Linked DNA regions of Arabidopsis thaliana. The protein of the gene in region 1 interacts with the protein of each later gene in a biochemical or structural test. Each region holds a gene or a part of one and is shown on either strand. Other genes may lie near its edges. The genes, in order: mSFC1 and TPR7.

Region 1 (4,535 bases):
TAACCAATCAAAAAATCCTCACGCAGCCATTACATGATTTGGGCAACTGGGAAAAAGAGAGAGATCGATGTTCGATTCACTCGGCAAAAAGTTGCCTTCTTTTTTAAAACAAGAAGCTATCAAAATTTGATTTTTTTTATAAAAAAAATAATAATAATTTCCCATCAGAGTAACTATGACAATATAGCATCATATGGAACTGATAAACAGATCCATAGCTTTCGATAAATATCCTCATTAGGAACAAATTGCACAAAACTTTTTAACCGAGCAAACAAAAAAATATTTTCAAAGAATTAACTAGAGGAAGATAGATGACAACAGCCAAAAGAAGCGTCTATATAAAGGAGAGGTTGCGATGATGATGATGGTAAAGATGGCGGCGGCTAACTAGGGTTTTGATGAAAGCCCTAAAGTTGCGTTGGCGTTAATAGTATATATAAGGGAATTGGCGAAGGCGGTTGAAAACTGTGGGCCTATATGTTCCAAATGTGGCCCATAACAAAATGACCCCAGCCCAAACTAATATGGATGTGACAGTTTTAAGAGTGACAAACTGAATTTGCCTGACACTGTTGCCAATTTTGGGCCTTATAGTATATAAATGATAAATCAGTGGTATTCACTTTTTACGTTTTTAAGCGTAATTTTGCTATGCTTTGTAGTAAAACTTATTTAGTCAGAGTCTTACAGACAACAACAAAATGGAACTCCCAAAATTTGATTATAGAGTAACATCGTTATAAAATGTGCGATTAGGTTTATTTTTCTTGATCAAATCAAAATCCTAACAAGAATTTTCAGAAATACACCAACTAGAAACACTGAATTTCAAAAAGTGTCTCTGCCTATAAAGGAGCATTCCGAAGATATCTCATCTCATAAAGACCAGTGACTTGATCAGCAACAGCCCACATAATGGCTTGTCCTGGAGGAATCCTCATTAGCCTCGGCAATAACCCTCTCCATAAGGCCACTAATCCTTCCTCTGCATAAATCGTTCTAATGGCATGAACCATCCCTTTATATCTAATCCCACCTTCACTGTCTCTGCTCTGAGCCATCAACCTCGTTTTCACCACATCAAACGGTCCTGTGCAGAACGGACCTGCGGTTCCAGCTAAAAACCCTGAGATCATTGACTGCCATGGCTGCAAGATTTTACCGTCACCTTCGTGTTTGTTCCACAAGAGTATGTCAAACGCGTTTTTCGCTGTGAACATTACAGCTTGGTTGGTTCCGTTTCGCATAACCGTCGGTGCTGCACCTGACCATAAACCAAGTATGCTTTCTTCTCTCACGATGGTTCTAGCACAATGTATTGGTCCTTTGTACTTGAAAAGCTCAGGACTCAATCCTTTCTGCTGCTGAAGTCTAATTTTCACCACCTGGAGATAAAACAGAGAACTCAACAGTGTTTTACTTGAGTAAATGTAAGCAAAATCTGTGTCAGACTCAAAATGCTTATGATTATGATGAACACGATTCTCCGAATCAAGAGTTGCCATGAACAATAGGGACCAAAGAGATTCGTTGGCCAAAAGCATCAAAACAGATCTCAACAAATCATTTTTTATCTCTTTGACTAAAATATACTAAATAATTGATGAACAGAGATGATTTTCTGGTGCAAGAATAATCTAACAATTTCAATTACACCAAATCTTTGACTCAACTAACACTCTGATGATTAAACTATAGTTTTAAATCGATTCATAATCTAATAAAATATTAGAGAAGCCATGTGATTTCATTGTCTCGAAAAGGCAACAAGACTTACCTCAAAGGGTGTAACAATGGCGAGAGCTTCAAGAACACCGGCACCGAATCCGGAAAGAAAACGGCCACGATTGCTGACCTTTCCGGTCTCGGAATCCTTAAAGGCGGTTTGAAACATGGCGTTGGATCCCATCCGAAGCGTGTACTTAAGCGTGAGATGAGTAGCGAACGGTGTTAAGCCTTTCCAGAGAGCACGAACTCCTTCGGTGCGAACCACCTTCGAACCACAGTGAGCGATTCCTTTGTAAGCGCCGACGCGATCTAGCTGGAGACGCGTTTTGATTACGTCGATTGGTTGGAGACAACAAGCCTCGACCACTCCGCCTAGTGAGCCTGAGACTGCTTTCATGTACGGCGGAATCTGCTTCTTCGATTCCGTTCTCGTCGCCATATCTGATTCCTCGGCCGGTGAGCGAATCAGAAATCGAGAAGGAAGCAGAGAGAAAGAGAGAGAGAGATATTCGTCCTTCTTCTCGTTACAGACTCTCTGCTATTTATTCTTTTGTTATTTTCCAAAAATGTTTGCTTTAGAAAGAAAGAAAAAGATAACAAAAAGAAATTGAGATTGTTTGTTGTATCCTTAAAGTGTGAGAAAGAAAGTGACCTTTTTTTTTTTCTTTTAGAGATGTCATTGGCACAATATTCTCATAATAGTGGGTTTTATTTAAAATAAATATGCATATTCAATCAAAAAATGAAAATACTTTTACATCTTCAAACCACGATAGTAGTGATCAAACACCTTTCAAGTTTCAACAACCAAGGTAAGTTTGGCGTAAATCGATTTCATCACCATAAAAATGGTAGATGTGATTTGGGCCTCTTATTAAAAGGGACCATCTTTGATTTGATGTCTTATTCAACGGTCGTAAATGCCTAACCAAATGACTATGCTTGGTCATTGTTTTTAGTTTCGCAAGGCCAATAGCCATTGATTATTACCCTTTTCATTGCCTTTTTCGCTTTGTCCTCTTCTTTGGTTTAGAATGTTGTTGTTACGCGTTTCTTTTTTCTTTTTCTAGGGACAATTTTGACGACACTCGGGTTCCAGATTTTATTATTCAATTTTTGTTTTTCTAGAGCTGATATGAATATATGCTTATGTTCAAATGAGACACTATTGTGTTAGCTCTGGGAGACAGTAGTATATAACAATGGAAGCATGAGTGGAGAGTTTAGGAAAGAGTGATTAAGCTTTGGGAAAAAGAAATGCATTGTCCTAAATAAATAAGAGCTGTGAAAAACATATTTGACTTTAATCGAATCCTATTATATCCTATATTAGTATATTGGGCCGATTGGACAGTAGATGATTGGACTATTGGGCCGATACAGAAACGATTATAGACATTAATTCTATACACAAGAGACATCCACAGCACCACAAGTCTGTTTCAAAACGGGCCCGTAATTTACATATTTAAAATCAAAGCCACAGCCCAAAACGAAAAGAATCAATAAATGTGCTCTACAAATAAGTAGGAAGCAAAAGACGATAGAAATTCCTTCATACAGTGGTTAGTCACTCCGGAAGAGTTGGGTTTAAGAGAAGAGAAACAGCACCAAAAGATCACTGGTTGTTTAATCCACAAGCTTATTACTTTTTAACATTCTTTATACAAAGATAAACAGACCTCCCTACTTGAGCTGACCCATGTGATTTACTGAGGTTTTAAGATTCCACACTAGAATGATCAGGGTTTCTTCGTGGACTGCAAAAAAAAAGCAAAGTTGTTTAGTCTTAAATGTCAATATATGTTTTGTAGAATCAATGAAAGATTGTATGCATAAAAACTCACGTCAATGTTCTTGGCAAATTCTTCCATTTGCTGAGCGACTTTCTCCCTGTTCTCTGCAGCTGGAAAACAAACATCCACTTTTTAATAAGATTGTGGGTTACAACAAGCAGACCAATCATTATTGAGCTAAAGTATGAAGATGCTAACCCATTTTAGAGAGGTTTTCTATTCTCTTTGAAGTCCTCACAGCAAATCTCTGGAAAGCATGGCTGCCATAACAGAATATAAACAATTAGACATCCATTAGCGAATGTCCAGGGAGTCACTAAGACTACTAAAGAATCTTATCAATCAGACAAATAAAAAGGAATCAAACAAAAACAAAACAATAAACAGCCTCAGTCTCTTAGCTTCACGTTTAACGTCATGTCTTTAATCAGGACAAGCCTACGAAAATCATCACCGGCAGTAATCCACACCCCAAAAAACAACATAATGAAAAACCGACAATCCTAAACAAAGTAAAACCTGAGTTATCTAAAAACAAATTTGAATAAAACTCAGGACAAAATGTTCACTTAAAAATCAGCGAATAGCTTTGCGCAAAGCCAAAAAGAAATGTACAAATTGCAAACACCAAAAAATGTAGAACCTAAACTATAACAATTCCAAAACTAAAGCCAAACTTTTTTTTTATCACAAAGAAAAAAAAAAAGTGTCTCAAACTTCCTACGCTGCAGCGTATGGTAAATTACGTAGCAAACCAGCTGAAGTTGAGATTAATCTTGCTTCAATATTGAACGAGCCGATAAGGAACATATTTCCAATCCAATCAGCCAGAGAAAGAAGCTTACTTTTTGATATCTACCCAATTCATCATTAAAAAGTACAAACCCTAAATCGTTATAAGGAATGAAAGTACCTGTTTGCCAAACCATTAACTATGAACTCGTTCGCAACGTATGAGATCACTCTCGCAATAAAGTTTCCTCCTCCCGCCATTCTCGCTCTTTCCTA
Region 2 (5,993 bases), 7.1 Mb from region 1:
TCATGATTCGCCGAAGATAATGGGGGGGGGGAGAGAAAAAGGAAGAAGAAGGAAGACAATGACAAAGACTCTTTAATTTTCTTTTGGTCTCTTTTGTCTCTGCGCGTGGTCTCTATTGACTCTCTCTCCCTCCCTCCCTCTCACGACGTTCGATTTCTTCTATTTTTTTAATTAAAGACATTTTAACGAAGAATTGATTTAGCTGGGCCCCAGATTAAGACACGTGTTTCCTTCTCTTGTACTTCATCCTTCTAAGTTTTTTCTTTATTTTTTACTTTTGAAGAATGTGTATTCAGTCGTATATTAAAATAATTAAATTATCTAAATTTTGGGTGCACAAAAAAAAATATAATTTAAAATTTAATGAAGTTTTTTTATTTTTTTAATATCTATGAATTTAATAAAGTTTAAGATGATTTTATATACTTATTTCAAAATTTCTCCTCGCAAAATTTGCAAACGTTGGATTGCGAAAAAAAAATTTTTTACTCGAACTTTTCTCTTTAGAACATCTCCAACTCATCTTTATTTTTGTCTTTAAACTTTATTTTTGCCTCTATTTTACTCTAACTCATCTTTATTCTTACCTCTATTATAGAGATCTTTATTTTTTTTCTCTATATATAAAAATAGAAAATAAAAATCTCTATTTTTCCTTCTATATTTATAAAGAAAAATAGAGACAACCATTAGAAATGGTCTTTTCTATTTGCTAAAAGAATCTCCCAACGCAAATAACCAATTTTCTTGTAGAGGCGCTCTACCAGAAGCATAATTATGTTTATAAAATAACGAATATAAGGAAATATTCGTATTTTCTCTAATTTAAAATTCACTACAGAAGAAAGTGTAAAGAAATTTAGACACAAGTGGACTAACAAAAAGCTGAGAGTTAGAGGAAAGAAAAAGAAGATAAAACGATGTTACAGTTTTACAAACTAAACGAACCCACCGAAGACTGGTTTTATCTTCACGAAGGATTAAGCCTTAAGATACCGTTGTTTCCTCTAGTTTCCAATATAGCCGAGACGGTGAAGGACCATTGCTAAAACGAGCATTAATATTGCAAAGATCAATCCGCCTTTTCCGAACAACCACTTCTTTGCTTTCTTCGCTTTCTCCATCCCGGTTTGAGCCCGATCCGCCCATCGCATCTGCAACAACGTGTTTACAATTGAGACAACTATACAATCAACTTTGAATGTTCTTTTGGTTTTACTAAACCGAATTCGTACCATTTTCTCCAAGGCGTCGGGAGAAAGAGAAGCCATGGCTTGCTGAGCTTTTGCAGCGTCTTCTTGAGAAAGCTTCATTCCAAATTGTTCGCTCATGCTAGCCATCATCTCAGGGTTCATGTTCTTTATCATAGACGTGAACATCTACCAATATACAGAGAAACTACTATATGAACATCAACAATCACATTATGTTGACTAAATTGGTAAAACATAAACCGAAAATGATCAAACCTGTCGCATCGCTGGATCTTTCATTTGGTTTCTCATCTGTTCCTGTAAGTCAGCAGGCGGAGCAGAAGGGATGCTTGGTTCGAAACCGCTTCTTGGAGCCACAAAGGAATTTCCCGAAGAACTCCCACTCGCTCCTAAACTTTCCCGTGGTTCAGATGCTTCTGCATTGCCGTATGATGTTGAAGCTGGAGCGTTTGCTTTCAAAGACGATGCCATGTTAAACATCCTCTCACGCTCTTCTGGTGACATCTTACCCATCATATCAGATGCAAGTTTAAGCATGTCAGGTGTGGGTGTAAAACCGTTTTCGGTAGATGGCGCAGTCGGGGCGAAAGGGTTATCTCCTTTAAACGAAGAGGCTGTTTGAACCATTTTTTGAATCTCTTCAGGTGACATTTTGCCTATCATACTTGACGCAGTTTTGAACATGTCCGGTGACATGTCTCCAGCTTTGCCTCCGCTTAGAGCAGCAAGTGTATCGGGATCAGTTTTTGAAATGAAATTCTGGAAAGTTCTGCAGGCCATAGAAAGAATAAAAACAATTAGAAAATCATACTAATCGTGCCAAATGTAGCAGAAAAAGGATGCTTTAGATTATATTTGTCTTCAAGATTAGGAGACAAAAAGATGAAACAACACATCAAACACTAATGTTTGGAAAGGTGTCGAACCTGATTGCTTCTGGATTATCTCTGAGAGCTTGCAATCCATCAACATCAGTCTTTACGCCCTGAGCATGACCATTAGCCTCTTTTGACGGTTTTTTATTCTCTCCGGAAGTAACATTATTTTCTTCAGTTATGTCTTCAATCACCACACCTAATAACCAAACAACATAACATTTTTCAGTTCGTTTCCATATTCATGGACGAAGCATATCATTGATGTAGTAAAGAAACGTCTGGTCTGACATAATACACTGAATTCTTTCGAATAAATCATAAGGAATAATATTATACCTCTTGATGCCTTGCCAGGTCCCTCGACAGCCAATCTTTCCTTAACATCTCTGCATCAGAAAAGATAATACTTCAAGTCAAAAGTTATTTTTTCAATGTTAATATCAAAACCTCTGAGATAAGCAGAACTGAAAAGTATGACATTACCAGTAATGAATATAAAAATCCATACCTTAACACATCGGCAATTGTCTCATCTTCTGGGGAAACTTCATGGGCCTTGCTTAGATCAGAGACGGCATCCTTATAGTTTAAGAGAGTGAATGAGCATTGAGCAAACATATAGTCAGGACATATCTACAGTACAAACATATATATCGACAAGGAATCTCAAGAAAGTTCCATAAGCAACAGAAGAACTCACTTCAAACAAGCCCAAATCTCTGTAAGCTTGACCCCTTCTGTATAGGGCTTTGACATTCCTTGCATCATATCCCAAAACCTGAAATAATGTAAGAATGTAAATTTATCAGAAGAATGTCGAAACAGTTTTGAATAGATCATAAAACGCTGTATGACATCATGTGTTACATCTACAAAAAAGAAGCCAAAAGATTGCCATCTCTCTTTTTCCTAAAAATGTTTTCATCTATGAGTTTTCAGAAAATTAAGAGCATAAAGAATATACCTCAGAACCTTCCTTTATGCACTCTTCATGCTGATTCGTCTTCAAATAACACGACATTAGATTGAGAGAACAAGCCAACAAAATTGCTCCACCTTTAGAAGATGGAATCTCTTTCAGATTGTTCTTCGCCTGAGATATGGTCCAAGAGCATTGTAAACAAGTAGAAAAGAATCGCATATCAGGTTACAAATAAAACTCTTCTTGTCAAGTAGCATGACAAATGAGATACGTCTGCAGACTTACACGCAAGTATTTCTCTGCGGCATCGCTGAAATTTCCTCGGCTATGAAGCTCGTTTCCCTGCCAAACGTAGTAGAAAATGAGATTAACATCAAATTACACAAAGGTCCACTTGCTGAAGCCATTCTTGTTCCTTACTTTATAATCAGGAAAGCAAAATTCAATAGAAAACTTCTCTCAGGAAGTCAATTGTTACCTGTTTTTTAAGCATCTGAGCTGCATTGATCTGATAAGTAAATTGAGCATCAGCATGAGCACGCATAGCTGCAATATCTTCAGGGGAAGCTTTAGCCATCTTCTCGCTAATCTCAGCCATATCTTCAGGCCGAGTATGCTTAAGCTGTTCCGCAGCTTGTTTCAAATCTTCAGGCCTCATGTTCTTCATACTCTCTGTTGCCATATTCATCAAATCTGGATTTGACATCATCTGTATAATAAACAATGGTATAAATTCATCATACAAAGCCATAATCAAATCAAATCAAACAAATTCTCCTCAGAATCGATCGAATAATTCGAATCAGGAAAAATAACGAAACCTGTTGTTGGATCCTAGCGAAATCAGCAGGAGTCATACGACTCATCTGATCTTGAGCGAGCCGAATCATCTCAGGATCCATTAACCCGTTAAACATCGTGTTTTTTTTTCTCGAAGCTTCGATGTGGTTCTCTGTAATCAGATCGGAAACACAGAAAATCGAAATTCGCCAGAGAAGGATAAGCTCGGAATCTGGATCGAGATTGAGTTTGTGAGAATCGGAAAATCGAAGGAGAATTGTTTTGCCGACCCGAAAGTAGTTTCCAATAATATAGAATCGAATTGGAAAATTTATCGCTCAACCTCCTCAATTCACCGACCGGAATATGCCTGGATGATGGAGAATGACTGTTTTACCCTTGATCTACGATGATGCTGTGACGTGCCATAATAAATTAATTTACGTAATTGTATTGATTAACGTAACTATATGATTACGTGCAAATTGTCATGTCCTTGTCCATGTTGGAAGACTAATCTCGTGTTTTTTTTCTTCTTAAACTGAAACGAATCTCTTGTTAAACTCTTTTTTATTTCGTTTTAGAAAGAGTCGTCCAATTTAACTGTTACACGTGTTAAAGTGTCAATAAAATTCAATTTAAATTTGTTTGAGGGTACAAATAATTTTTTGATATTTTAAAATTCTTTAGGGTCTGGATATCGATATCATATGTTTGCCCAGCTACATCTCCATGATATAAGCTCCGAATGGTGATTGCGTTTTGCGGTGCGGGAGAAGTACGGTGCGGTTCAAATAGTAACGAAAATATATAGATACATATGAATATGTAGAGATTTTAATACTGTTACAGTACTGTTGCGGTGCGGTTTTAAGTGCGGTTTTGATTACCATTCAGAGCCATAATATATTTGTTGGAATCCAAAAATGTTTAGTATTCAGTTTCATAGACTCAATCTCTAAAGTAATCCATTTATTAAACTTTAAAATATGCATGTCTTCTGCAGAATTTTTAGTATCTTAAATATCAAAATGATCTTAACAAAAAAATACATATGTACAACTATTCGGGCAAAGAATTTTATTTCAATACGACAATCTTTTCAGTTGTTGAACGAGTTTTAGTGTTTTGACCATACAAAGAAAAAAGACGAGTTTTAGTGACATATAAGTTGTGTTTGGTAATACTTTTTTCAATATTGTTTCGATATAGTTTCATCGACGAGTACATCTATCAATTAATTTTTCTGAAATGTTTATTTCTCTCCACCGCAGCATAAATGTTTCAATGTTTGAAAGAATGGAAACGGTGGTATAGTCACATTAGAAGAGGACCACTTTGACTAAAGCTAGCTACAACTCTCATCTATCTCTCGTCTCCCAATTTTTCAATATTAGCAGAGATTATGATTCACTAAATGATAGCAGTCTGAGAGAAGTGAATGTTGATATGATTTATGATTATCAATTAACTAATCACTAAGTACTATTGCAGCGAGAACGAGGAAATTCTAGCAAACCTCTTCTTCTTGGTCACAATGAAACCAATGGATTAATAAAGTTATATCATATAACAAACAAGAAGGAAACAATATCTTCAACTTATAATTAATAAAGCAATATTGCTAAAGCATTCTGATACATGTTGTGCAACATCTCTCGAAGCTAGATTACAACATGCATGTGCTTCTAAATAGATTACAACAAAGCAACTTTTTAACATGTTTACACGAACCAAAATATGCATACACATATATAGCCTTGATTTTATAATTCACATAGCCCTTGTTATCCTTTAGAATACATCGTAGACACATTCTTACGTATTCTACTATTATATGGCAAAGCAATCTAGGATAATGAGTGAGTTGTATTTTTTGAATGTACCCTCTATTGTACAATGAAAACGAATGTAAATATTCAGTTTTGTTTTTGTTGCCCACATTTTATTGCCGTAAATTGCAAACTATTTTTTTAAAATTGATATGCTAGGGAAAAAATGAGTTAAAGAGCATGATGGAGGAAACAGAAAGAAGAAGGCTTTGAATTTTGATGGTTGTCGGGACGTGGAGAGGATCTCACGTGGCAGTTTCACTCTGATTGGGTCCTAAACCGCCGGCCCACGTGGCATGCCACTTGTCACTGGTACTTCTCTTTCTCTCTTTCACAGCAGCAAGTTGTGTACGATTGCTGTTCTTAT

The links.
Region 2: the proteins of mSFC1 (region 1) and TPR7 form a complex in vitro, tested with the Arabidopsis thaliana proteins (one study listed by BioGRID).

The regions. Positions count from the first base shown.
Region 1 is NC_003076.8:142,392-146,926, forward strand, and holds mSFC1 (Mitochondrial substrate carrier family protein), read right to left. Parts: upstream 2,473-4,535; 5' UTR 2,171-2,472; coding exon 1,781-2,170; intron 1,389-1,780; coding exon 849-1,388; 3' UTR 664-848; downstream 1-663. Other genes in the region: AT5G01350 (UvrABC system C protein), read right to left, coding at 3,474-3,491, 3,579-3,637, 3,726-3,787, 4,441-4,520. UniProt on the Arabidopsis thaliana protein: May transport cytoplasmic succinate, derived from fatty acid oxidation, into the mitochondrial matrix in exchange of fumarate during lipid mobilization in seed germination.
Region 2 is NC_003076.8:7,271,333-7,277,325, reverse strand, and holds TPR7 (Tetratricopeptide repeat (TPR)-like superfamily protein), read right to left. Parts: upstream 4,256-5,993; 5' UTR 3,932-4,255; coding exon 3,836-3,931; intron 3,724-3,835; coding exon 3,493-3,723; intron 3,357-3,492; coding exon 3,300-3,356; intron 3,186-3,299; coding exon 3,057-3,185; intron 2,871-3,056; coding exon 2,793-2,870; intron 2,672-2,792; coding exon 2,601-2,671; intron 2,479-2,600; coding exon 2,429-2,478; intron 2,289-2,428; coding exon 2,141-2,288; intron 1,984-2,140; coding exon 1,470-1,983; intron 1,380-1,469; coding exon 1,236-1,379; intron 1,155-1,235; coding exon 1,008-1,154; 3' UTR 747-1,007; downstream 1-746. UniProt on the Arabidopsis thaliana protein: Plays a role in protein import into the endoplasmic reticulum (ER). May function as chaperone docking protein during post-translational protein translocation into the ER. Chaperone receptor mediating Hsp70-dependent protein targeting to chloroplasts.